2 linked regions of the Lytechinus pictus genome follow. The main gene of each other region encodes a partner of the protein of the gene in region 2 in a complex. Links are inferred from orthologs where the notes say so. Each region holds a gene or a part of one and is shown on either strand. Other genes may lie near its edges.

What was found.
Region 1: the proteins of cold shock domain-containing protein E1-like (region 2) and polyadenylate-binding protein 4-like are in contact, whole or in part, in a crystal structure (PDB 7ZHR), measured with the Drosophila melanogaster proteins. The link is inferred for Lytechinus pictus from reciprocal best matches to the Drosophila melanogaster genes Unr and pAbp. Residues at the interface, in NP_648226.2 of Drosophila melanogaster: Leu843, Glu844, Thr845, Thr846, His847, Asn848, Gly849, Val850, Glu870, Ile871, Leu872, Asp873, Glu874, Thr878, Val879, Ile880, Ser881, His883, Leu902, Ile907, Asp908; in NP_476667.1 of Drosophila melanogaster: Asn184, Tyr186, Lys188, Ser211, Lys213, Met215, Phe225, Phe227, Ala229, Tyr255, Ala257, Arg258, Ala259, Gln260, Lys261.

Annotation. Positions count from the first base shown.
Region 1 is NC_087245.1:30,414,550-30,430,228, reverse strand, and holds the start of polyadenylate-binding protein 4-like, read right to left. Parts: upstream 8,464-15,679; 5' UTR 7,916-8,463; coding exon 7,723-7,915; intron 1,189-7,722; coding exon 995-1,188; intron 748-994; coding exon 629-747; intron 317-628; coding exon 85-316; intron 1-84.
Region 2 is NC_087247.1:53,961,265-53,977,033, forward strand, and holds the start of cold shock domain-containing protein E1-like, read left to right. Parts: upstream 1-9,143; 5' UTR 9,144-9,228; intron 9,229-15,769. UniProt on the Drosophila melanogaster protein: RNA-binding protein that acts as a regulator of dosage compensation in both males and females.

The sequences.
Region 1 (15,679 bases), on a different chromosome or scaffold from region 2:
GGGATAGAGGATGGTGGGCAGAATGGGAAAAATGTATAGGTTTAAGAAAAAGGACAAAAATAGACAACTAATGTCCTAACTCACATCATTTGCAGACTCGTGATTCTCAAAGCTGATGAATCCAAAACCTTTGCTCTTGGAATCGTCATACATTATCTTGGCAGAAAGGATAGGTCCATACTGGCCACCAAAGTCAGCAAGTTTGACATCATCAATGTCCTCGGCCAAGTTCTTTATGAAAACATTGGTAAATTTCTTCTGATGGTCACCCATCTGCATCAAACGTTCTTTTCGAGGGATGAAATAACCTACGTACCTACACACCAAAAACAAGACAAAAAAATATGTAAGTGTATCAAGGGAAAAATTAACAAATATTTCACAAAGATTTAGCATTACATGTAGGTCAAGAACTGAGGCAAAGGATCCATGAATATTCTGATAGACAATTGTGAGATGAGACCAAAAAAAAAGGGGGGGGGAAGAGAAAATACATACAATTATGATACCTAATGATTTTATGTTATCTTCATGTGAAGCAAAAGACTAGATAATCTGAAATATACCACCAAAAGATTAGCTCTCTACAAAAGTCCCTGATCGGACGATGATATTTCCTTCTACTTACACTTTCTTTCCATTCAGCAACATGCCATTAACCTTTTCAATGGCTTTATTGGCTGCTTCTTGGGTTTCAAAGTGAACAAATCCATAACCTTTGTTGACACCGTTTTCGTCTGTGACAACCTGTATAAAATGGGGAAAAATGCAACGGCTAGTCATACGAGAAATTTGACTGGTCATGAATCTCGACTTTAAACCAACATGTCCATTTAAGCATGCTGTATAAATAAAGTTATTAGACCTACATAAATGAAAAACAAATTTATTCCTTACAATCAATGCTAAAATGAGAAAAGAAGACAAGAACATTAAATATCTTCATGACTCGGTGTTGTTAGAAATATCGTTTAACATATATGGGATACATTACCTTACAAGATAAGATGTGTCCGAAGGCAGAGAAAGTATCATACATGGCCTTGTTGTCAATAGATTTGTCAAGGTTTTTAATGAAGACATTACCAACTCCGGATTTCCTGAGTGAGGGATCACGTTGTGACCACATGATGCGTATTGGACGACCTTTCAGTGGGTCAAAGTTCATTGTGTCTAAGGCACGCTCAGCTACGAGGAAAAGAAACAGAAAATTGAATTCAACTTAAACAGTTTATTCCTGAAAATTTAAAGGACAAGTCCACCCCAACAAAAAGTTGATTTGAATAAAAAGAGAAAAATCCAACAAGCATAACACTGAAAATGTCATCAAAATCGGATGTAAAATAAGAAAGTTATGACATTTTAAATTTTCGCTTAATTTCACAAAACAGTTATATGCACATCCTGGTTGGTATGCAAATGAGGGAAGTGATGACATCACTCACTATTTCTTTTGTATTTGATTATATGAAATATTCGAATTTTCTCATTGTCAAGTGATACAGCAATTAATTCCTCCCTGAACATGTGGAATTAGCATTGTCTAATACTATATGGTTCAGTCAAGTTGGTCCTTATTGTCAAATCTATAAAAGATGAAATATTGTATAATTCAAACAATAAAAAACAAAAGAAATAGTGAGTGATGGACATCATCGATTGACTCAACTAGCTGTTAATTAGGCCTGGGAGTAAAATTCGATCCATCGAAGCATTCGATCAGTTTGCCAACAATCGGCACTCGAATGTTACTGTTTACACTTATCGAATGTTCGCCAGATGATGATTACTGATTTGAAACATTCGATTATCATAAGTACATAACTGTAAACTTAGATTTTTGAAAACAAAGTGCAAGATATCAAATGAAAATTCTGCTAAAATTAACGAATTCCAAAGATTGTATCTCTTTCATGACACACAATGACGACTAAGCCGCGGCGACCACGCACAATTCAGATGTGTTGGGCTGATGTGCACGTACGTCTCTATAGGCGCTGTGCTGGACACACTGAGTCGGGTGAGCTCAGTTTGCTCATTATACATTGTATGTGATTACAGCCACGCCCAATAATCATTCCAAAAGCGCTAACAAATACGCCCATATTGTCATAATAGTTAACTTGTACGCGAATCCTCTGAATCAGTCATGAGAAGCCACACCTCAGTATCAAACTTGCTATATTATGTTATACCCGCCCACTCAAACAATATCAGTGACTTACCACGTGCGCGAAAGCATTGTCACTGTACAAGGTAGTTTTGAGGCAGAGCCTATTAAACCAACTGGAACCGCCCACGAAATAGGCCCCCGCAAAATTCCCTTCTCTGCGTAACACAAGTAGTTCTATCTTTGGGTACGTGTACGTGGTGGGTTTGATTGACACATTTCCTTCCGCCGGATGCGCTTTCCTAACTTTTCCCCCAATGACTGAACGAATAGGATCCATTCCAAGTCACGCGCAGTTCTCAATCTCCTTCGCTATTCGTTCTTTAAATGGGCTTGTGGGCGGGATCTACGTTCGCATCAGTGCAATACATACAACACGTCCATTCACAGTCACGCACAGTTCTCAATCTCCTTTGCTATTCGTTCTTGGAATGGACTCATGGGCGGGACCTACATGTATGTTCATATACTAACATACGGAATACATACATACAACACATCCATGCATTCTAGAGGTCACGCACATAGTTCCAGAGATGCCAACTTTTTGAAATCAGAATTAGGGAGGATTTGCAACCGACACCAAATTATGTGCGCGTAGCGCACATCTCGAGCGCGGAGCGCTCGACCCTTGCGGCCGGGGTCGAGGGCCCGCCTTAGGGCCCTGGAAGCTCTGGGTTTCTAGATGCTCTCTGGTGCAATCTGACCCTTATTTTGGAGCATTTCACATGTTTTTAAAAAAACATTGTTCCCACTTTTTTGACATAAAAATAAAAATATCAAATATGCATTTTACATGTAAAAAAATGAGGGGACAATAGAAGAAAAGTACCTGTTCAACTATAATAATGAGGAATTATCCTCTTTATTATTAAAGCGCGGGTAACGTCTTCCTCCTCGCTGGTCCCTTGCTTGGTGAAATAAGTCAACAGGGTACTAGTGGAGCTCGAAGATCTCGTCTTCGCAATGTCAGTATGCCGTTTGCGCTTCCGAATATCATCACGACCTCCGTGCTCAACTTTAATGTCCACGCTGCAAATTGTGCAAAATGCATGGTAGATTCCTCTTTCCGACTTCCGAATACACGGGTACTGGAGACTGTATTCAGTCTTATACTTCTGAGACCATTTCTTGGTCTTTTTTTGTTGATTTTCCGCCATTTCGTGTCAATATCAACCCATCAATACGCCGAAATCACACACCGATATTCCATCGCACGACTCGACAAATCCAGCGGCCGCGAGCGCACACGCCTCGCGAAGCTAGCCGGGCCTACCGGCCTGGTGCACAGTGGATTCCCGTTGGGCATATCACATGCACCAGCTTTTCGCTGCTCCTTATTTGTCTGCCTTTCACACAGAATTTAGTAGCAGCGAAACGTAATGGAGTTACTACATGCTTAAGTCAGCAGACGATACATGTACTTCCAATCCAATTTGATCAATGCAAAAAAAATCGTAATTTCGGGAGGATAAGGATGGTAATCGTAAGGGCGGGAGTTGGGATGAATTTTCGGGAGCCTCCCGATGAAATCGGGAGGGTTGGCATCTCTGATAGTTCTCAAACTCCTTGTTATTCGTCCATTGTGTGCACTCATGGGCAGGATTTATGACATACCAGAGCAAGTGCAAGCATAGCTATAAATACATACAACACATCCATGCACCATATAGCGGTCACGCACAGTTCTCAATCTCCTTTGCTATTCGTTCATTGTGTGCAGTGAGGGCGGGATAAATGAGCAAGTACATGTTCCTTGTATGTACATACAATGCATTTATTCCAAGTTCCACTCCCATCATACCAGTTAGCGCAGCTACCCGTAGGTCATGGAAGTAGGTCAACTTTTGTGTGTGTGATTTCTGATATTCCAGGAATCTCGATTAATCCAACTAATCGATTGTTTACTCTGGCAAACAATCGAATGGCAAAAAGGGTATTCGTCCCAGGCCTACTGTTAATATCACTGTTTTGTGAAAAATAAGCGAAACTTTATTAAAAATGTCATAACTTTCTTATCTTACATCCGATTTTGATAACATTTTCAGCACTATGCTACTTTGATTTTTCTCTATTTATTCAAGTCAGCATTTTCCTTCAAGTTACTTGCAAATCAATTGAATATACCTTGCTTAGTAATAGTAAGCTATTAAATAACATTTTTTGTTACTTTTAAATTATTTTCAACAAAAATGTGAATTGTATGCAAATAGACTAATTATTATAACTAGAAACAGCGCCTCATACGTCACTGCGAAGTGAGTCAAATCAGCAGAAAGACAAAATTTGATGAGCCCCGTTGGGACGGATTTTGCATTGTTAACCCTCTTATGGCGGCTGCACGATCGCGAACCGTCTGTCAAGGTCTGTGTACGAGGAGAAAACAAATTGAAAATATTAAAAAACTCCTCAAAACAGACGGCTGCCAGCTGTCTAGCGCCTCGTAATGCTACAATAAATAATTAGTATCCATGCTCTCAATCATGTCAATCTCAAATTATGATTATCGAATATGACAATGAACTGTAAAGTTGTAGGCCTAGAATCTACTCATTTTTTTTTCTTACTTAACTTGGTCTTGCCTTCCATTCGGTATTTTATGATTTAGATTATAATATGTGAACTGAGAGTGAGAAAGAGATTTGAAATTGAGTGAATAAAAGTTTCTGAGTCTGACTAGCCAGGCAGCTTCTAGAGAGGAAAAATCATTTACTTACGTAAGGTTACTCTCATACGAAGCCCTGGCTTCGTATGAGAGTAACCTTGCGTTAGTAAATGATTTTTACTCTCTCGAAGCCGCCTGGCTAAGTCTGACAAGATTCGACTGACATAATAGGGTGTCTGAAGCCACACTGAAAAGTGTCAGCATAATACAGGCTAATTTAGGGGAAAATATGGCACATTTTTTCGGGAAATTCAGGCTGCTAAAAAAATGTGATCTGAATTGATTTCTATCTAATGTGTGGGATGTATGGAAAGGGAAAATTCAGGGACTTCTTTTGACAGTAAGGACAAGTTTATATGATCATTTTAAATAAGGATTTAGAGATAAATTGCAAACCCTTATTTGTGTGTGTGTTGAGATTGTCATTTCCCCTAACCCAGGGAGCCCAGGGGCGGTATTCTGAAAACCGTGTTAGCACAAAAACGGTGTTAGCTAACACGATTGGTATTCTGAAAATCGTGTTAGCATGAAAAACACGTGGCCCAAATGGTAACACCGCGCAGGTCATGAAATACGCAGTGCACAACGCGCAACCCCCATACGCGGTGTTAGGGAGGAAGATAACACGAAATTTGGTATTCTGAAAATGGTGTTAGCTAAAATTTTGTTCAAAGATAACACGAAAATTTAACACTGCGTTAAGGAGAGGTTAAGTTGGGGATGACGATGGCTGCACTTTTTCTAGCAGACGCAAACGTCAAGAAGAACATAAACGGGCAAATAACTATCGTTTGGCAGGATTTACTGTAATTTTCTTTCATATTTCCATTTACCTTTAGTCTCTACTAACAATGATTAAACAACAATTTCTTTGGAATTTCCTATGAAAATACAATTTAAATGCATCTTTGATTTGGATTAATTAAAATCATTATCATATATGATCATGAGTTATTTATTTGGCTACTTTTTGCCATAATATAAAAAAGACAAAAAGAGGAAGAAAATTACAAACGTCTAAAAGAAAAGCACAAACAAAAATTAAAAAGAATGGAATTAGCAATTGAGGAAACTTCTATAATATTCACATTTTTAAAAACCCTTTTTCAATGATTATATAGCTCCAATAATTTTTTTAAACTCTCAATGCTTCTAGGTTATTCTCAATTTATCTATCACGCCTGTCAATCTATATGCTTCGGATGGGGGGGGGGGGGAGGGGGCGGTCAAAAGTGTTTTTTTTTTTGCATGGCTGATCACTCTACGCATCAAATTATAATATAGAAAAAAATACAATTTTGTGTTTGATATTTCTATGTCAGATTTAATTTTTAGTGGAACCTCAAAAAACGAAAAGTTCTCTCCTTCTACCCCAGTCTCGATCGGCCATTTTGTTACGATTTTTAACAAAAATGGCCGATCGAGACGGGGGTAGAAGGAGAGAACTTTTCATTTTTTGAGGTTCCAGTCTGTGCCCAGATGTCAGGAAACTGCCACTCGTTAGACCTTCATCCATATAATCGTGGTAATTGTATACTTTCTGTTTTCACAATTCATTTGGAGAAATATTTAGACCATAAATCACCCTAGTCCCGTGAGTATGGTCAAATACACGGTAAGCCCCTGGGTTTACGGACGCGAGCGTAGCGTAACGTTGGGGAAGTACAATAAGAAACAAGATGGCGGCGTAAACATCGTGCAAGTCTCTTCCGTCTTTTCACAATATTTTTTCTTTTTTTTGATGAATTCTTGTTTTAAAAATAACGAGAGCGTAGAAATGTCGGAAATGAAGTTTTATCCCATGTACATGACTTAGAGCTAGATCTTTTAGAAGGAAAGAAGAAATCTCGGGGGTGAAAGTTTCAGGTTTTGGCTTCCATTGTGTGGGTCTATGGGCAGTAGAGGCGCACGGCCAATATTGGAGACTGTCTCCACTGTGGGAGATTATCTCCAATATCAGAGACTTTTGTAAAGAATTTGGGTAGGCCCTATCCAATTTCAGAGACAGTCTCCAGTTTTGGAGTCCAATTTCCTTTCTTTACATTTGCTGCAAAAGGATTACCGTACCTTGGCGGCAAATAAAAATGTGATAAGCAGATTCCTCATGAAAAATTACCCCTTTTCACCGTCTACTTTAAAAATTCACCTTCTACTTTTATTTTGATAAGGAATTTTGTTGTCAATCACACACAAAACAAATGGGCTTCTGACCTCAGTGAGACAAAATTTTGGGTGGAAAAAATCATACTTATGACTATGTTGGTGTTGTTTCTTTTGTCCTTTTGCAAAGCAAGTCTCCAATGTGGGAGATTGTCTCCCCTATTGGAGAGAGTCTCCCATTGGCCGTGCGCCTCTACCAGTCTACTGATGGGATAGAAGGCCTGGCTTCGTATGAGAGTGACCTTACATTAGTAAATGATTTTTACTCTCTAGAAGCCGCCTGGCTAACTGAGATAGGATGCCTTGAAAGTTGAAGACTCCGCGAGTTATGACAATATCAAAATCATAAAAAATATGCTCACGGAGTCCTCAAGACTAGGCCTATACCATTAGTTTAATACCAGGTAGGCCTACACAGTCTTGACTATGGCAGGAAAATGCTGAAAATTGACCTGATTTCATTCTTCTTTTTTGCAGCAAATAATTGGATTTTTTCATAAAATTTTATATTTCTGTCAGTCTGAAGGTTATTTCTATTCAAATTCACAAAGAAAATATGAAATTTTTTTGAAATGAGAAAAATATTTTTTTTCTCCAGACACCCCAGACATAATTTTTCAAATGTGTGCACCCATCGATTTCTGGGCTTAAAGATCGATCTGACGTTAATTGTGTCTGTAAGTGTAACTTATTCTTTATTCAAAGTTAACGTAAGTTCTAATCTTACCATCTGCTGGTTGTTGGAAATTCACGTAGGCGTAGCCTAACGAACGACGTGTGATCATGTCACGACAGACTCGAATAGACAAAATCGGTCCGGTTGATGAAAACTTCTCAAAGAGCAGAGCTTCTGTGACGTCTGGGTTAAGATCACCGACGTAAAGAGAATTCATAGGATAATTTTGTCCTGGGGCTTGCATCTTGGATGAGTTTTAGAGTCACAGATGATAATAAATTCGTTTTTTAGTCAATGAACCGAGACAATGCAATGTCAATGTGCACGACGACCAACCGTTGACGCTCGTTGGACAATATGGCGAGAACCGATGAAAAAAGACGATGGAAGAACGAGAAATTAACGGCAAGATACAACAGAATTTCACAGACGGAGAAGCTAAGAATAATATTTTTATATTTCTTTTTTACAATTTTGTATTTTTTTTTGTATTTTTTATTTTTTTGAACGCAAAAAATGGCAAACTGCACGGAGACAGCTCGTTGCCCTCTGTCACAATCTGTGTAGACGAACGAGAGAGAACGATCGTGCGAATTATGGCCATTTAATTATTATTGCGCGTCAAGATAAAATATAGTTCTGTTTTACATTCCTTTTGGCAAATGTTTACAAAGAGCTCTTACCGTCAAAGTCTTTTAGATTATCACAAACAATGAACTTAATATTATTTTTCATTGATATGGTAAATTTAGAAGGCATTTCTCAATTTCAATCTCATGTTCTGAGTAATGCGGTTCAAGGGCGTGTGACGTGACTATTTGCTGTATCAATTCTCGTGGTTCTTCGTACATTGTATGGACGGGGATATGAATGAGAGATGAGGATCAGCGAACTACGTTGACTCATTCCAAAAAATTTATGTCGCAATCATTTTACAACTTCATTGATGGCCATGTGAGGCAGTGGTTTAGTGTCGATGCACGTACGGGTGTCGATGGTACACCCTTCCGATGCCGGGCACCCCGCCCCCAGTATATTATTTCATCTTCTAATTCTGCTTTTTCTTCATCTTCCACTAATTGGATCTAATCCGATTTCTTAACATCCAATCCTGAATAAACATTTTGATATTATATTTGTTTACTGAATTCTCGGGATTGGTGGCCAGATAGATAAACGAGAAAAAAATCAATCACACACACTCATAATCACCATGGGATCACCATCATAATTTTATTCTATGAAATTAAAAGAAAAAAAAATAATAATCCTTATGAAATTTGAAAAATCACATTCCAGTCTAATATAGTGCCTATTTATAGCCGTATATAGTCTTAGGGCCTAAGTTTACATACAGGTAAGCGGAGTATATTTCAATGATTGGAGATCAACACATATGATTTCACTAAGCATGCCACTGCTCATGTTGATTCTCAAAGCATTTACAAGGCATCCTTCCTGTATTATAATCCTTTCCATGATGACATTTCAGTCTTCAGCGTCTATCAGTCAGTCATTGTATATTATTTTTTAAGAACATTTTCTCCTCATTGTCATGTAAAACAAATTTCATTCCTCCCAGAACGTTTGGAATTGCCATTTTTAATGGTTTCGTGGTTCAATGGTAGTCCTTTTATTGTCGAATCCAGTGTATAGTGCTCCTGGGTCGTTTGAGAGCGACTTCTATGCTTTTCACACTGCATTTCCTTAACCCTTAATATCACTGGCGTAAATCCCGGGGGGATGGGGGGGATATATCCCCCCACTTTTCGAGGAGGGGGGGGGATGGCCTGTACAAACATCCCCCACTTTTTACGAAAGAAATGAAAAAAAATCACAAAAGATAATTGTTTTATTGGTGAAAATTCTTCCTAAAATACCGCTTAACAAATAAAACAATATTATTAAATCATAAAATACAAATAAAGAGCCATTTCACCATTTCCAAACGAAATACTTATGTCCTTATTATAACATTGAAGAGAAACCCCTGTTTCTTCCAATTCATCAATGTTGGGGTCTTTGGGAAGGGATGAAGATGGAATGTCAATTTTTGTTTAATGTAATCTCTAATAAAACCATTATACCATCATGGGGTAAAAAAAGATAATAATATTGGAGGGGTATTTATATGGACATACAGTGGCGTAACTACGGGGGACATGGGGGGGCACATCCCCCCCCCCATCGGCTGACCAAAAACAAAAACGAGGAAAGGGGGAAAAGGAGAAAAGAGGGAGAAAGGAAGAGAAACGTAGTGGGAAAGAAGAAAATATTATTCATTATAATGTTATATTATTCATTATAATGTTATATTATATTATAATTATGTTATGTTACATTACAACTTTATGAAACATAATTTGCCCAGGGCCTACGTCTATTTTTATTGTTCCTGGTGCTCGCATTGTCTGTTTAACGAGATATATAATCCTGTAACATACCGTTTTCAAGTCAATATAAACCAAATATATTTCCTAGCACTTGAGTTATCATTGTTTTATGTAGTGACATATGCTTCTTTTTCATGACTCAAAAGTGATTGCCCCATGTTAAGGTCTTCGTATATATGAAACATTTCCTGTCCGTGATTACGTTTGCATTAGTGGATTGGTGAGATATGTCTACTCTTCATGAATTCCTAAAATCAGTCCTTAAAATGTCCCTTCTTCTGATCTGAATATCAAAAATTTTCAGCTCGCGCTTCGCGCTCGCATCATTTGGTTAATGAAATACGTATGGTCCTAGTTAATTCCTACAAAGAAACCTTAGAATGCCCCACTTCAGGTCTGAATTATCTAAGTGTTCAGCTCGCGCTTCGCGCTCGCATTGTTTAGCGAGACAGGTACCTATCATGATTACACAAATTTGATTATATTGTCCCTTTTTAGGTGTGAATATAAAAAAATTTCAGCTCGCGCTTCGCGCTCGCATTATTTGATCAGTGAGCTACATATCCGTTTAATGACATTGTCTTTAAAATGTCTCTATTAGGTCAGTATAACTGGCAACTTAGCGCACTCACTTAGTGATTCAAAAATTTTGCTGGTGCCCCCCCCCCTCCCCAATGCCGTGACCCACGGTACGCCACTGTGGACATATCAATGACAATTCCTTGCATATCTAAAAAATGATTGCAAAAAATGCCAAATATTTCAGTCACCCCCCCCCCCACCCATCAACACGGATTTACGCCAGTGCTTAATATATATCCTTAACCCCGCGGAACCCCATACAATCTTTTTTTTATTCACAACTGTCTTTCTTATCCCATACTATTTATCCCTGGCTAAGCATATGGTATGGGAATAAGAAAGACAGTGTGAATCGAAAAAGGGATAGCATGGCCGGGTTACGGATAGTCCGGGGTTAAGGATAGTATAATCAAACATAATCTATATGTAATTGTATTTCTGATAATTCATTTTGTTTAAACTTTTTGAATGCGAACTATTTAATTAATAAACGTCATTGTTTTTATCATTATCATTATTTTGTACATGTACTTCCCAACTTGAGCAGGCAGTTTTCTTAGCTAATTTGTAATTTGTGATATGAAAATACTTTACACTGTACATTTCCTTTCTTGTGTGTTATACTGTTCAATGTTATTGATGTAAGCTACTTAATCGTTTTGTAAAGCGCTTAGAAACACTATGTATTAAGCGCTATATAAATACAATGTATTATTATTCATTATTATTATGGGGTTAAGGGAATGCAGTGTGAAAAGCATATTGCAGGGCCAGATAGTACCGTATACCGTGCTAGCCCACTTTGCTAAAACGTAGTGTGAAAACGAAGTGGGCTAAGCTTAACCCCCCAGAAGGAAAAAACAGTTCCACTGGACCTGTTAGACCAGTAGAATTTTAACTGGTAACTCTGCAATTGGAACATCGGTTTACTGGTCTAACTGGTCATACTGGTCCAGTTAAAATTTTACTGGTCCAGTTAAAAATTAAACTGGTCTTGAATTCCTGGAATTTTATACTGGTCTTGTTTCTGGTCTTCATACTGGTATCCAATTCAAGCTGGGCTTTACTGGTATTTTCGACTGGTCTGACTGGTCCTCGAACTGGTCGATCTGGTCCTCGTACTGGTCTTACGGGATCAATTTATTTCATGCATTTGGTTTGTTATATACCATGCATGGTCAGTGAAATGTGATGGAAAAGATGGTTAGTAAATTAATCTTTCTGCTGTTATTTAAAATGTGATATACGAAATTACACATTTTCATTGTGAATTAGTTCACACACTTATTTGGAAAGTTTTTAAACAACAATGAATGCCATTGCAAGGATATTCCATTCTAAATCCTGATTTTTCTTTTTAAAATAGGAAATATGCAAATGAGGTAAACCACGTGATCAGCATCATCAGAATTACTGGTATTACTGGTCTTGACCAGTTCAATTTCAAACAATGAATTACTTTAGACCAGTTGACTATATCAGAGGAATATATCTTGCTTTGATCTTAATCATAATTAAAGGAAATAATTATTTTAATGATAATGTTAATACTTGATAATTATGATTATATTAACAATAATAATTACAGTATCAATAACAATGATAACAGTAATAAGAATGATAACAACAATGATCATAATAATCATAATAATAATTATGATAATTATAAGAAGAATGATGATAACAATGATAACGATAATAACTTTCTCTGAATTGCAAGATTCATTTTCCATAATTCGTCAAATGATCTGACTTGAAATAAAGTCATTATTTATTGGACCAGTAACACCAGTTTGATGATAAACAATTTAACTGGTATTACTACTTTGCTTCAACTGGAATGTAATTGTTTGAACTGGTCTCCAGTTGATTTTTACTGCCGGTCCAGTTAAAAATCAACTGGTCGAGTAAACATATACTGGAAACCAGTAAAAATCTACTGGAAACCATTTATTGGACCAGAAACACCAGTTTGATGAAAAACAATTTAACTGGTGCTACTAATTGCTTCAACTGGAATGCAATTGTTGGAACTGGTCTCAAGTTGATTATTACTCGTCCAGTTAAAAATCAACTGGCCCAGTAAAAATATACTGGAAACCAGTAAAATTCTACTGGAAACCATGCAGTAATTTTTTTTACTGGTCTAACCCTTCCTTCTGGGCCCGGGAATTTGGTGGGGCTAAGACCCCCCCCCCCTTATACCCCCACAAATTTCCCGGGGTTAAAAAAAGTGCAGTGTGAAAAGCTTATTCATGGACAGGGAGAAATCGCATACATTCGTAATTCCGAAAACGAAATAAGGTTCCAATCCGAAGGTTCGTATTTCCGAAAATGAAATTAATTCATTTTGGTAACAAGAACGGTGTTGTCCTTACAAGATAACATGATATTATGCAATATTTAATAGTAATAACGAACGATGATACATGTGTGTCATGTGACCAAAGCATGTATTGCATTAAGAATAGGCGCCCGAATCAAGCATATATAGGCTTAATTTCTATTTTATCTGAGCAATTGCTGTTTAAGAAAATGGTTTAAGGATGCAGGGGATTAAGTGTGTTGGTCGCCCGCGAGTAACCTCCAGATAATAGGATTTGTATTGGAGGGGATGTCATTTTAATAAGAGCTTCCGCTGGTAATAAAAATAAAAATAATACTAATGATGATCATAATAAACATGGTAATAAAGAATATAAATGTTTTAATAAAATTTTACTGATCGTTACGCCTAGAGTTAACAATGTTAATCTTTTTTTCATGATTACAAAAAATGTTCGGCATGTTTACTTTTTATGTGGGGCGTTGTGGCCCAGTGGATTAGTCTTCTGACTATGAAACAGAGGATCGTATGTTCGAATCCCAGCCATGGAGTAATTTCATTCAGCAAGAAATGTAGGCACACTGTGCTGCACTCAACCCAGGTGAGGTGAATGGGTACCCGGTAGGAAGAAATTCATTAAATGCCTTCCTTTGGGCGCCTATATAGGCAGCCCAGCCAAAGCCGGGTAATAATAATAGCAGGGCCCGCTGGGAGAACAGTTTTCAGAACTAAAATGGCTTCCCTTGATAAATAATACCAATATCATTATTATTATTATCATTATTATTATTATCATTATTATTATTATCATTATTATTATTATCATTATTATTATTATTAGGCCTACATGAAATTTCCAAAAGTTTGAGCTCGTGATTCGCCCGCAACATCTCACAAGGATGCCCTTTTAACAGTAATTGGGTCCATAATTGACCGAAAAGCGAGTTTTACAACTTCAGATTTGAAAAAAAAGTTCCAAACCGCTTGCTCGCTTCGCTTGCTCGCGAAAAATAAAACCTAAATATTTATCTTATCAATCAGAAATCAATTCAAATAACTTAGCTCAACTTAATTACTACAAAACACACAACTTCTTTACACAGATGATAATCTCATGGTGAAAATATCCGTTTTCACCAAAATGCCCGTTTTGGCATATAAGTGCACCTTTTTTGGCTTTGCCCCCCCCCCAAGGAAAATACGCTCCGCCGCCATTGAAAAATGTATCGTCTTCATGGCTAACTGCAAAAATTACTTAACATGGCCCTTTTAGATCAGGTCAGACATGTCAGAGCTTATATTTAAAATTTCTGCTCGCGCTTCTTTCTCGCATGTTCTAGTTACATAGGCATCTTGTTTTGAAGATCACAAGCATATTGCCCATCATATTTCAAAAAAAAATTATAGCCCGCGCTTAGCGCTTGCATTAATTAAAAAAGGGCTTATGATATTATTACATATTTACTTTATTTTATAAGAATAAAGCTAATTATTGACTGGGGGGGGGGGGGGTGGTGCAGGGGGCACTTGCACCCCCAAAATAAATAACAGGGAAGTGCTATTTTTTCCATAATGAAAATTCCTTTTTTTCAAAATGAATACTCTTTTTAAAGTATACATTTTAGATTAATTTTCAGGCTAGAATATTACAATTTTTCATCTCGCGCTTCGCACTGGCATTATTCGATTGGTGGTGAAATATGTATTCTAAGGAGGTCACTTAATGCAGTCCTTAACAGGTTCCTTTTCTGGTCAGTATATATTTAACCTCGCGCTTTGCGCTCGTGTTAATTCTGTAGTTAGATCATGGACCCTAGGGTCCATGGTTAGATGCACATTCTTTTAATGGTATAGCAGAAACCTGCTCGGAATTGTTTATTTTCATTTCTTATTGAAATGCCCGAAAGTTTGAGCTTGTGATTCACGCTCGCAACACCTCGCAATAATGCCATTTTAACAGTAATTGACCGCAAAAACGAGTTTTACAACTTCAGCTTTGAATTTTTTTCCAAACCGCTCGCTCATCATACTCTCTCGCGAAAAATAAAGCCTAAATATACATCTTTCCATAATCAGAAGTCACTTCAAAGAGGGTTTTCTCTACTTAATTACTATAAAACACACAATGACTTCACGCAGATGATAATTTCATGGTGAAAATTTCACCAAAGTGCCCATTTTGACGTACGAGTGTCATTTTTGGCTTTGCCCCCCAAATGAAAATTCGTTCGGCCGCTCTTGCCTTCCCATCCTCATAACAATTGAACAGCAACGGGGCCCCCCACCACACTTTCCCTTCCTCTGCTTTCCCGGTTTACATTTTTCGGATTAACGAACCTTCAGAATAACGAACCTTATTTCGTTTTCGGATTAACGAACCTTCGGAACAACGAACCTTATTTCGTTTTCGAATTATCGAACCTTCGGAACAACGAACCTTATTTCGTTTTCGGATTAACGAACCTTCGGAACAACGAACGTACCTTATTTCGTTTTCGGATTATCGAACCTTCGGAACAACGAACCTTATTTCGTTTTCGAATTAACGAACCATCGGAACAACGAACCTTATTTCGTTTTCGGATTAACGAACCTTCGGAATAAAAAACCTTATTTCGTTTTCGGATTATCGAACCTTCGAAATAGCGAACCTTCGGAATAGCGAACCTTTGTAATAACGCCACAAATCTTTCTGATTAACGAACCC
Region 2 (15,769 bases):
TTGTCATTGCAATCATGAATAACATACGCATCTCACTAATCAATATTGCGAGCGCGAAGCGCAAGCTGAAAATTTAGAAAATTCAGACCTGACGAGGGACATTGTACGGCTTGTTTGTAGGAATTCACGAAAGCATACGTATTTCACTAACCAAATGATGCGAGCGCGAAGCACGAGCTGAAATTTTTGTATATATTGACCCCAAACAGGAATTTTTTAAGGAGTCTGATTTAGAGTATACATATCTCACCATAGTCATGTAATGCGAGTGCCAAGCGCTTGCTGATTTTGTTAGAATTACATCTGAATACATGAAGCACTTTTTGTAGTCATTGTATCATGATTATCATACGCATCTCACTAATCAAATATTGCGAGCGCGTGCTGAAAATCTAGATAGTTCAGACCTGAAGCGGGGCATTCTAAGGCTTGTTTGTAGGAATTCACTAAGACCATACGTATTTCACTAACCAAATTTTGATATTCAGATCAGAAAAAGGGACATTTTAACCCTAAAAGGCCTTGGGGGGAATCCGCCCCCTCCTCGACATTTTTCGCAATTAATCCGCCGCACGAAATTTTTTGACCGCGCCGCTCACTGACTTTTTACTTTCAAGTCTCGCGCAACTTTTGACACCAAATTTGCGATGACTGGGTACGCGGTTACGAAATTACGCAACATTATGTAAGTGCATGTCAGACCCAAAATTGCTCAAAAACGTGAATTCATGTACAAATCCAATGCAAATTGTGTATTTAGCCAAAATTAAAATATGTATCATTATTTCTACTTTTACTGATTAAAATTAATTAATGTTGTCTTGCTTATGATCAGAATTAAGTCTGCAACAATTTCCATCAATAAAACAATAAAAAAACAAATATTAAAAAACAAAGAAATACATAAGAAGTTAAAAAACAATAAAATACATAAGAACAAATCTGCGATACCAAATTTTTTTGATGTACATTTAATCAGAATCCTACAAAGAGTCTGTGAATAAAAAATTAGCAATTTGGGGGCATAATAAGTTAATTAGAGGAAATGTTTTATTTCATGCATAAATTAGCATAATTAATTCATTAAAAAAAATCTTCTTTTTTCAGAAAAAAATTAATCATACAGCCTTGTAGATTTTATCGCACACTATACCACTGTGCAATTTTTTGCGGCGCTCGTGCGATCGACGGCCGAGATCTCAGGGGGGGGGGGGCGGAATCCGACCCCCCCCCCCTCGGCTGTGAGATGGGTCCGAATAACCCGACTCTTTTAGGAATTCATGGAGAGCAGACATATCTCACCAATCCACTGATGCGAACGTAATCACGGACAGGAAATGTTTTATATTAAGACCTTAACATGGGGCAATCACTTTAAGTAGTCATGAAAAAGAAGCATAAGTCACTACATCTACATAAAACAATGATATATTTGGTGTATAATTGACTTGAAAACGGGAGGTTTTCGGTTTATATATCTCGTTAAACAGACAATGCGAGCACCAGGAACAATGAAGACAGTCCCTGAGCAAATTATGTTTCATAAAGTAATGAAAAAAATGTTTCGTATGTAATATAACATAACATGATTATAATATAATATATGCATTATAATGAATAATAATTTTTTTCCCCACTACGTTCCTCTTCCTTTCTCCCTCTTTTTCTCCTTTTCCCCGTTTTTTTTTTGGTCAGCCGATGGGGGGGGGGGCGCATGCCCTTCCCGTAGTTACGCCACTGATCCTAGTGAAATACTATTATATTAGCACGATTAGAAAGAGAGAGGTATAACATTTTTAAAAATATGACTCATTGGCACGGATAAGAATGGGCAAATTTGGAGAAAGCAAAGAGGTAAAACGAAACGGGAAATGAAAGGAAAACCAAAAGCTAAATGGGAAAATCAGAGTATGAAGAAAAGGGACAAGAAAAAAAGAAGAAAGGATTGAAAAACATAAAGAACGGGAAGAAAGGTGGATGGCGTCTATTATAAGCTTGCTTAATTTGATGGTCGCAATCAGGACAAAAAAATCTCATTGGCAAAGGGTTCGCCAAGGGCTATATATCCCCCCTTATCATGTCCTAAGTTACCAAAGTAAAGATTGACGCTGCATGGCTATAGATTTAAAACATTTCCTCTTAATGTTTACTTTGGCTAAGTTTCTAAAGCTACTATCACATAATTAGAATTTAATTTAAAAGTCATTTTTAAAGGCCAAATTTTTCTGGCTTGCTCCGCTCGCTGGCTACTTTACAAATTTTACAACATTGCTATGCTGCCTCAAAATATTTCGTTTATTATCCACAACTGCGTTGAAGTTAAAGGAGAATGAAACCCTTGAAACCAGCTGAATCCATATATCAAAGAGAAAAATCAAAGAAACATATTGTTGAAAGTTTGAGGAAGATTGAAAGAATAATAAGAAAGCATTTGATTATTGAGATCACTAATGCCATGTAGATCCTCCCATTGGCAATGCGACCAAGATCTGTGATGTCACACACGTACAACTCCTTCATTACTTTAGTACTTATTTCACTTATATTCTCACTTTTATAGAGTCTATCACAAGGTGAGGTGTTCTCTTTATGAGAGGACAAGTACAGAGGTTTCACAACATTATATCATTGATGAATCGTTTGTCATATGATTAGAATGAGCAAAAAGAGATGTTTTGGGGTATATTTTCAGTGTCCAAAAGGGGAGAGTTGTTCATCTGTGACATCATAGATCTTGGTCGCATTGCCAATGGGAGGATCTCCATAGCATTAGTGATCTCGACATTCAAATGCTCACAACTCTTCTATTTCTAGTCCTATTTTACTCAAACTTTTGTTGATCTTATTCTTTGATTTTTCTGCTTTCACAAAAGCTAACTTGCTCCAAGAGTTTCATTCTCCTTTAATATGTGTTGTGTATGGACCCGCGATTTGATACAAACGTGGCCATCTGTAATGTTGACGTCCTAGACCAGATCCAGTACCAAGGGGGAGGTACGGAGTAATTGTCATAAGCATCCTACTAAAGCTGCAAAGTGCTCCAAAACAGCTTTAAATTTTGAACATTTTCTCATCTATTCCAGGGGCGGATCCAGCCTACGCCAATAGGGGGGCCGGGGTGGAATTTTTTTAGCCATATTTTCCCCGATCGGCCGCTCGAAGAAGATTTTTTGTTTCTTTGAAGCAGTGGCGTAGCTACGGGGGGGGCATGGGGGGGCACGTGCCCCCCCTGAGATTTGGTGTGCCCCCCCAGGTGCCCCCCCTGAAAAAAAATGGCAGAGCAAAAAAAACAAGAAAACAAGGGAGAAAGAAGAAAAGAAAAACAGAAAAGAAGGAGAAAGAAAAGAAAAGAAAAAAAGAAAAGGAAAATAAGAGGAGGAAGAGGAGTGAATGAAATAATGTACGTGAGGGGAAGACTTGCAAAAATAATCTTTCATGTTACTATATAATTTTTTTGCTCGCGCTTCGCGCTCCCATTATTGAAATATATACCGTCTTCGTGGGTAACTGTAAGCAGTCCTTAAAGGGTCCCTTTTTGACAATGCTAGAACAGTTAATATAAATTTCTGCTCACGCTTGGCGTTCGCAGTTATCATCTAGTTACATACGAATCTTGTTCAGGATCATACATAACATTTCCCAGAATATTAAATTTTCAGGACAAAATACATGAAAGTAAAAAAAAAATCGCTCGCGCTTCGCGCTCGCACTTTTTATAAGGCTTATGAGATTATTTCATGTTTATGTTGTTTTATAAGAATAATACTAAGAAGTGACTGATCGGGGAAAATGTAGGTGAAGATAATTTCGGGCCCCGTCCCCTATTGGCGATAGTCGGATCCGCCCTTGTGCATACACACACACACACCGGAAAAAATTGTGCCCCCCCCTGAAAAAGCAAGGACCCCCCAGTGCCCCCCCAGGAAAAAAATCCTAGCTACGCCACTGCTTTGAAGGGGTAGTTTAATAGTCATTTCTTAGCTTTATTCCTATAAATCAACATAAATATATAATATCATAATCCTTATTATAATGGGAGCGCAAAGCGCGAGCTACTTTTTTTTAAATTCTTATGTATTTTTCCTAAAATTTGAACATTCTGGGCAATTTTTGTTGTCCTGAAAAAGATGTGTATGCAACTAAATAATTACTACGAACGCGAAGCGCGAGCAGAAATGAACTGATGGAAAATGTACCTGTTAAAGACTGCATGCACTTTTAGCCATGAAGACGTTACTTATTTTAAAATTCAAATAATGCGAGCGCAAAGCGCGAGCTAAAATTTTTTGAGGTTTTACACAAAGAATGGATTTTCTAAGCACTTTTTGTAACTTAAACAGAATAGGTTTATAATTAAACAATTGATGCGAGCGCGAAGCGCGGAAATTTCGAGATTTAGACCTACTGAACGAAACACTCTATCATGTTTTGTAAATCATGAAAAGGATGAGTACTTGGGGATCTTAAATGATGAATTATGTAAAGTGTCTACTTGGTTCAAATGCAACAAATTGTCTTTAAACGTAAACAAAACACATTTTATGCACTTTAAACATTATAATACCCATGCAGTTAACGAAGAAATAATGATAAACATTGACAGCGTCACCTTACAACAAAAACAACATTCAAAGTTTTTAGGAGTAACTATTGATGAAAATTTATCGTGGAATAATCATTTACGCCATATCACCACTTCCGTATCCAGAGGTGTTGGGATCATTTCCAAATTAAAATACTTATTACCCCCCAAAACTCTTTTTCTTCTTTATAATGTCTTGGTTTTCCCTCACATATCATATTGCAACATAGTTTGGGGTAACTGTGGTAATACAAAACTTAATTCGATTTTCTTTTTACAAAAAAGAGCAGTTCGTATTTGTACAGGATCACAGTATCTCGCTAGATCTAGTCCTTTATTTTTTAAATTAAGAACTTTCAGATATAAATACATATCAAGCTGCTATCTTCATGTTCAAATACAAAAAGGGAATACTTCCCCCTTCCTTTCAAAATATGTTCACAATCAACAACACCATTCACTCGTATCCAACACGAAACTCTGACAAATTTCATCTCACAAATCCAAAACTAATAATAGCACACAAATCAATTAGACATTACGGTGCAGATTTATGGAACAATTTGTCACCTGAAATTAAGTTATGCTCTACACTTTATTCATTCAAGGCTGTTTTGAAGAGAAATACACCGTTAAAATATAATACCTAAAATTTATGTGTGTTACGTACCAACCGATATTACAACCCTCCCCTGCACTTGCACTCTCGCACACTTGCACTTTAACTTTTATCAACATGATTATAACTTCCTCATTTTAATTTTTCTTTCCCTATCTACTTTTTTGGTAATATTTCTATTATTTTGTGCAATAAAATATAAGTCTCTTTTAATGCACTATTTGTCTGATTTTCCTTCCCCTTTCCTTTTGAGGCCTTTATCAATTTCAAGCTCTAAGCTTAAGATGAAGGTCTCCCACATTTCAAAATGTATTATTGTTGATATATGTATATATATATATATATATATATATATATATATATATATATATATATTTGTTTTTTCTGCTATTTTTTTTTAACAATAAAAAAAGAAGAAATTTATCAGGTATAAGTATATTTCAATTAGATTGTATATTATGCATATGTTATTAATTATATCATTTGCTTATTATGTTATGCTAAGAAAAAAAATGATTACACTTGTATATGCTTTTTTTGGAATGTGGAAATAAATAAATCAAATCAAAACAAATCTTCCTTACATTAATAACGCGAACGCAAAGCGCTAGCAGAAAATTTTTAAATATTTTATTTTATTTATTTATTTCCGTTTTATTTCAACAGGGTAGCCCTTTCAGTTACAAAACCGCTCTACCAATGGGCCCTGTACAATAAAAAACAAATACACATAAATAACAATTTACACACAGAAAACTTAAAACTATATACTTAACTACAAATATTTACTCAAGTAAAATCACATTAAATTGAAATTAAAAAAGTAAAATCACATACAAGCAGAGTATTCATATTAAGTTTAAATTAAATCTAAAATAACACAACCATAATATTTACATTAAATCAAAGTTAATACTGCTTTTTAAAATTCAGAGTTAAAAGTTAAAATTCTAGATTGTTTCTTAAATATGGGAAAAGATGTTATAGTTTGCATATTCTGGGGTAAACTGTTCCATAGATTTAAACCATAAAAAATGCAAAGATTTCTTGTAATACTCTGTTCGAGGTGTTTTGATTTTTAATGGGCAAGAATGTGCATATCGAGTTTGAAAGTTGATATCACGATAAACAATATTTTCCTTTAAATATGTTGGAACTGAATCATTAATCAATTTAAACATGATGAGGTAGGTCTGATACTGTTGTCTTTGTACAATGTTTTGCCAGTTTAATTGTGTGCGAAGAACATTGGAAGGTATTGAAAAATCAGCATTAAAAATCAAACGAGCATACTTGTTTTGAAGTTTTTGTATTTTCTTAATATTGCACTTCCTAGTTCTACCCCAAATAATGATACCGTAATCAATATGTGGCAGGATTAATGCATTATATAACATGATTAATATATTTTGCGGAATATTTTGCTTTATCTGTCTGATACAACCAATTATTCTTGAAATCTTCGTAAATACGTTTTGAACTGATTGAAAAGGTACCTGTTAAGTTCGATCTGCTTGCACTTAGCCATGATGACGCCACATTTCAACAATCAAATAATGGGAGCGGGAAGCGCGAGCTGAAAATTTTAACATTTCTACATAAAGAATGGAAAATTTTGATCAATTTTTGTAATCATGAACAGGATAGCTATATAACTAAACAATTGATACGAGCGCGAAGCGCAAGCTGTTGAAAAATCGAGATTTAGACCTAACAACGGGACATTCTATTCATGTTTTGTAAATCATGAAAAGAATGAGTAATATAGGGGATCTTCCTAATAATGCGGGCACAAAGCGCGAGCAGAAAATTTTTGATATTGTGATCTTAAACTGGATAATGATTTAAATAGAGAACAAGTTGAGTATCTGAATAAACATGCGCGTGCGTGTTTCATATTTAGACCTAGAATATAGGCATTCTAAATTCATCTTTTATCATGAAAATCAAAGCGAGCGTGAAGCGCGAGCTTAAACTATTTGATATTCCGATCTGAAAAAAGAGTCGATTTCAGCTCTATATTTCAAGCACTTTGTAGGAAAATTGCGAGGTGGATATGGATCGCACTTAATATAGAGCTGATATTTTTCATTATAATCACTTTGAGGTTTGACATAGGACCGGGACATCCCTAGGACATGTCATCATATGAAAATGATGACTGTCTTCCTATTCCTCTTGCTAAGCGCGAGATGAAACAAAAGGAACAATTCAATTATTAAATTAATATCTTATTCATTAATGCCTAATGAGGGCGCGAATCTGATGATATTATGGCCTGAAAACTGGACATTTCAAGCACTTTTATATAGTTATAAATAGGATGCATCAGTTAATTTATTATAACCATTAATGCTGGCTCAAATTGCATGCGAGCCTAAATTTTTTATACACTGTCATAGTTTAAATGTTGTATAATCAATATTGAGACATACATAACTCACTAATCAAAATGTGAGTGTGCGGCGCTAGCTGATACGTTTTGACAATCGGACCTGAAAAGGGATATCTTGAAAACTTTATGGAATACACGAAAATAATAGGTACCTGATAAATCGAAATTTGCGAGCGCGCAGCGCGAGCAGAAAATGGTAACATTCAGACCATAAAACTGACATTTTTACAAAGCACTAAAAAAAAATTGTAAATCACACAAAATAATGAAAGTTCGATTTTATTCTCTTGATAACTTTTACCATCTTCACCATGTTCACTCTTTTTAAACTGTTACACCTGTATCGAGCAACTTTTTGATCAGGCCGGGCGGCACCAGGAGGATTTAATAGGCGGAAGATGGCCTACATTACGTCAAACCCCCGTTTGGAGAAAGACCGCAGTTCAGATTGCAAACTGCGGTTCTATACCCCATTTTGCGTTTGTAAATCCCAAAATCATTTCCAAGCCCAGGGGGCCGTTTCATAAAGCTGCTCGTAAGTTAAGAGCGACTTTAAGAACGACTGGTGATCCTTTCTCGCGCGCTAGATCTTCGCCAATGGTGTGTACCATTTACCGCAAGACAGGATCACCAGTCGCTCTTTATTTACGAACAGCTTTATGAAACACCCGCCTGATCAATCCCGCTAGGCCAGGTAATCCCCGCTGTCTCAATTTTACCTCCACAGGCCAGATTATGAGCGTTGAGCCAAGGACGAAATGATAAACAACAGCTGTGCTATTACGTAAGACTTCTCTGCCTGTAGTAGGACCTTCGGAATGAAATTATTGTATTCGATATTTAATCACGTTTTCAAATGCATATTGTATTCAGAAATCCAATGTTAGTCCATTTTCAAGTTCGAACGAAGAAAATCGACCTCGAAATAAGGAAAGTAAGTGAATTAAAATGACGGCATGCTTTGCTCGGGCTGTTGTGTTATCTTCGGACCGAGGTCAAGAAACAGGTGTTTTGATACTTAAATTGCTTGCTTGGGGCAGTTATGGTTTGTCGTACCAATAGGTCCATGGTCGTACTTGGAGAAGAGAATTGATTGAGGGAAACTGGGGTATAGTGTTTTCAAATGAAAGGTTTTCGTCATGTATTTGACCTTATATTTTCAGTATAGTGGTAATATAGAACATAGGTTGGTTGGTTTGTTGTTGGGTAGGCCTATATGTGTCGCTGGGCCTTGTCCGGGGGGTTGAGGCTAATTGCCACGTGGCCGGATGAAATTAATGTAAATAATTTCTGGTTGAAAACCTTTTTTTTTTTGCTCGTCAAATTTTCTTCATGTGTCCCTCCCCCTGCTTCTGCTCCAAATTCCTTTCCTTCAAGCTTTTTCCTAGTCCTGGCTCCCTTTCTTCCTTTTTATATGCTGTGGACTGTACTTTAACGGATGATGATGATGATTTATTTGTCTATGGCTGCACCCAGGCTGCACCCCCCCCCCCCCCCCCCCCTCCTCCTCGGCCTCCTAGCTCTGCCTCGGCCTCGCACGCGTACGCGCTCGCGCGCGTGATGCACAAGCTTCCAGTAATGCAAATGGCGGAGGCGAGGGCACAAGTGCTGTTGTGCGGTGTTGAGCCTGAGGTGAGAAAAATAAAATTGAAGTTTTGTTTTGAATTAAATAGACTCTACGTCCTTTGCTTCAAATTTAGATTAATATATTTTTAAAGTATTTAAACTATTTAATTTTGAACTTCTTCTGTTCTTTCGAAACAAATGATTTGTTATTTCTTAGGCCTAACAGAGGCTAGACTATTTTTCTTGTTCTCTGAGTCTGATTCAGTGATTGAACTTTGAGTTTGAAGCCAATTCGGCGCTAGCTGATGTAGCTTTCATCATGGCGTTTATTGCAATAGATTAACGTTAATTTAAAGCCGGGTTTTAAGCTAGACAGGAATAACCGTCGTTTCTGTGGATTTATTTAACAATTTCTGACATTTTACTATCACCCCCATGTATTGGTGAGTGAGCCAAGTTAGCCAACGCAGTTCAGCGGAACAACCAAAATACAGAGACTGAATGAAGCTTTACTTTAGTTTTGCCTAATTTTAAACTAAGACTAAGTCTACCTCAAGTCACTCATTCAATCAATGAACAAGGTTATGATATAACCTCGTTCTCAATTATAATTATATCTCCATGTGTGGCAAAATAAGGATGGCAATGTTTGGCTTATTTTCTCTTTTTCTTTGGGACAAATGGTGAAATGCTTGATTTTTTTACACTGACAGTTTCCATTACACCTATTCGTCATTACAACTTGGCCCTTTGGCTTTAGTAAATTTGATTCTTTAAATTATTTTTTTTCTTAATTAAAAATAGAGATAAAAAAGAAAATTTTCTTGCCATATTATTTTCCACCAATAGAGGGCGAACACAAAAATATGCCAAAAATTCAAGGTTTTGAGCGCTCTAGTGAATACAAAAATTATTCCCAAGTTACAAATGAAAAATAAATTGCAACTGTATGGAAATTAGTAATTTTGGTCACAAAAGTAATATTTTAATCATTTTTTAAAGTGTGTGCTCTTTACAGCATTGGCATGCCATAGTCCAACCTGTAGGCTGTAGATTCCCCACAGGCAGGGTGGTTGCAGTGAACAAGTGCCTCGAGTAAAGTTTGTGCAGGCTCCACCTCACTACCACTACCGCTACACTCCACCTACCCGAACTTCTACACCCGTATTTCACTCCGTGTCCATCCTCCGGTTATCCTCGAAATTGGTGATTTTGGGCCAGTATCTAATTCCTCACACGTATTATTCACTGCCAATTTCAAAACATCGCATGCGATCGGTCGCAGGTCAAACAGCATAAATATTTATATTATATTGGATGGCTTAGAAAATACCAGAAATATTCTAAGTCTAAGAGTTTGGAAAAATATTCCACGAATCAGTGGAATATTTTTCACCAATTTTGAGGCGAACCGGAGGATGGACACAGAGTGAAATACGGGTGTAGAGTAAGAAATTAAGCTATTTTTCTTTCACGTTATATATTTTTTCTTTAATTTTTACAATAAATAACTTTTTGATCCCACCTTTGTCACTCGGAATATCAGATCGAGTCCACGGTCCCGAAGTTCATGTACAGGTGGAGTGTAGTGTAGCGGAAGTGGAGTGGAGGCTGCACGAACTTCGCTCGAGGTAGCTAAACTTAAAGTCAAATTCGCTTGACCGAATTATCCTAGCCAGGTCAACATGGACAAGGCCAAACTAAAGCCTTTTTCGCTGGTATCATGATCTCAAAATTCCATGACCATGACAATTGACTAACGTTAGTGCATGCTCAGCTGAAAAAGTATCATAAAAAAGTGTATGGCAAGTTCCCCCAAGCACAAGTCTACGTCTGTGTAGTCCCCCTTGTCTGCGTACATGCCTATCTGCCTGATTCTAGAGTAAAAGGAGCCCAGGAGTCGACCGTGCAAAACGAGAGAGACACTGGGGTAGATTGGGGTCTCAATAGTAATCTTAATAAAATGTGGAAACATAAATCATGCACTTACTACGATTATATCGATGAAGATGAGGTCTATCGTGACATACAAATCCTGACATCGAGGCACAGACTGGAACCTAAAAAAACCTGAAAAGTTCTGTCGCTATACCTCTCATTCTTTCAAAATTCAAAACAAAATGGCCGATCGAGAGCGAGGCTATATTCTGGTTTTTTTTTAGGTTCCAGTCTGTGCCTCGATGTCAAGATTTGTGTGTCACCATAGACTTTCATCCACATAATCGTGGTAAGTGCATAATTTCTGTTTCCACATTTTATTAAGATTACTATTGAGACCCCAATCTACCCCAGTCCCGTGTCTCCCTCATTTTGCACTGTCGAAGATACGCAACGAACACAAAATTTACACATGCAACACATACCAGTGGATGTTCATTAAAAAATCTGACTCAAAATGGTGGGAAAATAATGAGTTTTGGGCATTTCATGTGACGGCCTCAAAATGCAGCCTTTCTCATCAAAATACCTGAATCGTGTGCAAAGTGAATGGGTGCGCAGACATGGGGTACATTTTTTTTAAATCTGAAAATGACTGCCTGAGGTTCTTTCCAAGAAAATCCTATATTTCTTTCAAATTTTTATGAGATATTAGGTACACTTACTTATGATAATATAAGAAACATAATTAATTGAAAGATTTTGTGAAATAAAAAGAAATTAATGTTAAATCTTAACTCAAATCGTTAGGTGGGACCACCATCATAACCTTAATTTGTGCATGATCGTTTTGCAAAGAGACTTTTAGCCGAAATTGAGGGATTCGGCATAGGTCTATCTAAGCTCATAGAATGTGAGTGGGTCAGGTCATTTCTTGTTGGTCGACAGCACTGTGTTTGTGTAAATGGTGTGTTCTCTGACTGGGCTGATGTAACCAGCGGAATACCGTAAGGGAGTGTACTTGGACCCCTGCTTTTTGTAAGGTACATTAATAATCTGCCAGATCAGATTTTGTCAAGTAGTGTTTATTTATTTGCAGATGACACCAAGTTACATGTATACAAGCATGAAAAAAATGATAAAGATGCTGAGTTACATGTATTAGAAGGGGACTTAGATTGTCTTGTTTCACGGTCTGACAAGTGGCTATTAAAGTTCCACCCGGATAAGTTTTAATAGGTAAAAAGAATGATGAATTTAATGACTATACAATGACACATGATAATGCCTCACATATATGTAATCTATCACAAGTTGAAACTAGTAATGATTTAGGAGTGATAGACGACACAAAGCTTAGTTTTGACCAGCACTTTCAGTTAAAGATAGGCTAATGAATCTAATTAGAAGAACTTTTTGTCTCGCCCACCAGAGGTGAAGGCGAGACTTAGGGATCCAAATGTCGTCCGTCCGTCACAAACCTTATGACATATAACTCCACAACCGTAAGTCGCTTTTCAACCAAACTTGGATGGTAGATGGACTTTGGGACCTGCATGTTATGCTGCAGTCGGAGGTCACATGGTAAGGTCAAAGGTCATTTTCAGGTCAACGTTAAAGTTTTCATGCAAGACTCTCTTATGACACCTAACTCTGCAACCGTAAGTCACTTTTCAACCAAACTTGGATGGTAGATAGACCTGGGAGACCTGCATGTTATGCTGCAGTCGGAGGTCACATGGTAAGGTCAAAGGTAATTTTCAGGTCAACGTTAAAGTTTACATGCAAGACTCTTATGGGCATTTTCACCACAGATGGACACAGAGGCAAAAAAATCAAATTGATATTTATGTCAAATGCTTTATGTTTTTTAATAATACAAGACCTGAAGTTTCTGGAACAATTTTTTTTTCCAACTGTGGCAGCCATTTTTTATTTCAAAATGGCCACCAGAGTATGGATACAAATTAGTGTTGAAAATGGTATATTGATACATATTTTGTTCTGACAGATATTAAAAGAACAGGTTTGATCATGATATTTTCCCCCGTGATTTAGCTTGCTATTATAACTTTTTATAAAATCCCATAAAAAGAATCACCAGTAATTCATTTATCTGATAAAAAAATGTTGATGAAGTATGTGATATGGTATGTAACGTCAGTTACCAAAAACATGAACTTTTTTTTTTCATTTCCCAGATTTCCTCCTTAGGTAACACCCCTCCCTTCTACACCAAAATAAAAGATAATTAACAATCAAGCCATAGGGTACCATAAAATATGTGTAACGTCAGTTACCAAGTGGAAAATGTAATGTCAGTTACCGAGATGTAATGTCAGTTACCATGATAAAACATTATTATCAATAGTGAAATGCAAATTTGGTCAATTTTATGGTGAAGAAATATTGTATACTTGTTATTTAAGCCTTTCACTGTCTTAATTAAATCACACCAGAAGGAGCTTGCTATTGACTTTTAAAAGGTATAGTTCACAAGGAATACTATATAAAATTATGAAGAAAGTTGCATTCCCATCATGCAAAAAAAATTACTGTGAAATTGCATATGTACATACTTACCAAGTACCTAGTTTGTATCAGACAAAAAGTATTTTTTTATTTTTCGGTTTTCGTGGGGGAGGGGGTACTTTTCCCAACCTATTGCCTGAATCTGCAACATTTGATAAGCTTAACATTGTAATGAATGGGAGTTTCCAGGGCCCCTTTTTTAGTTTCTAGGATTCTTTTGAGCATTGCCGGGCTAAAAGTAAATTCCTGGTTTTTATACCTGTTAGTAAGGTAGATGTGTGATACAATTTTTGTTTTTGGTTTAAAAGTATAGATGAAAAGTGAAATTTGATAGTTCTGATCCAGGGAAAAAATTAATTTTTTTTTTCGGGGGCTCCATTTTTAATTTTTTGTAAAATTTCGGGGGCTCCATTTCTACCTTTCGGGGGCTACTTTTTGCATTTCGGGGGCTCTTTTCAAATGCAACTTTTTTGTATTTTGAGGAATACCTGTTCACTTATTCATGAATTATATTACTTATTGTTTAATATTGTATGATTTTTTAAGTTATTTTTTTTCATGCTTAGAATCTTGGATGTGGGTGTGTGTGTGTTTGTGTGACTGTGAGTTGAACTTGGATATAAATGAATTAAATTTCTAATTTCTACTCCATCTATTCCAGTACAATAACCTGTACTTGGCCATGTTATAAAAGGCCCACATACCCTAACTTTTCCTAAAGTTATTTGAAAACGCAGATCTCAACGAAAATTGCATTTCTCTATTGGGGAGTATAAATTTGGTGAGAATGAACTCATTACTAACTTAAATATACATGACAATGAAGAAATCATCAAACTTTATTGGCAGTTTTTAATAATATACCCGAATTAATAATATACCCGAAATGTAGACTCTGTCTGAAACAGAAAATCACCATCATTGAGGCCTTTACTGAGCAAATTGTCCCCCAGAGCTCTGGCAGAGAGACAGAGCTCAGACTGGCTAGCTATTACATGCGGCAATGCGTTCGTGAGCCTCCCGCGGCCTTGTAAAATAGATGGAGCTTTGTTTGATGATTTATTGTCTGATATTTACCTCATCCCCTAGAAAAATAAAGCAAATGATTTTTAAGTAATAATCAACAAATAAGGTAAGTTATTATGGATGTTAATAGGCCGTTTTGAATAGCAAAGCCGAATGACGACTCACCAATGCGAGGTTACTAGACTCTGGGATTTATTTCCTGTGTAATTCGAATTATTTTATCACAGAATTGTGATATCTGTAGGGGAAAATGTGCATTAGAAATTGCACATGGTGGTAGTCATAATGGACCCTTATACATGCAACCGTTTCCCGACCGTTGCGTTGATATTTTTTTCATACCATGAGTATGGAAAAACGTGGTACAGAAAAAAAGACGCAACTTCGGGATTTCAAACTGTGCTCCTCGCTATTTTCAAGGCTTGTTCTTGATTGTGAGTGCGGATTTTTGATGTTTTTTAAATGGTTAGGCGAGCTCGAGCATATGGTGCTCGTGGGCCGCCGAGTTGTATCGCTCGGCAATAATTTCGGGGGCTACATTAAGATTTTATGTCGCCCCCGAAAGCATGATTTTGGGTGATTTCGAGGGCGACTTTAGGCATTTCCGGGGCGAATTCGTGTATTTTTTTCGCTGTTCTGATCAATGTTGCATGGATCTACTAAAACTGTCTTTTTTCTTATTTACAAATAGTTCAGTTTCAGTTTAGAAGCTGGAGTTTATTTTTTATTGACAGCTTAAAAAAGAAATTAGCAAAGAGAATGATTAAACACATTGTGAAGAAAATTGAAATCCGACAGATATGAACAAGCACTGCTTGCACTGACCAGAATATAAATCAATAAAACTGCATGGCTGCAAGAGATTCAGGGAGGGGTAGACTAGGGGAGGTGACCCTTGTTCATTTTGCCTTTTTTGAGGGGAGGGGGAGGGTTGAAGAAGGAAAAGGCTTAAAAAGTCAATATAAAACTGATGAATATATGTAAATGGGTGCATAGTCAGAAAAATCCATGTGTACAGTCAATGCAATATTAAATTACTATAGGAATACATGTAGCTGGTATGACCCCCCCCCCCCCGGGTAAGTAAAACATACATTTATCTTTTTATAATTTAAACTGTGAAATATTATAAAACTTTTATGATTTTAAAAAACCTTACATATAATATAAG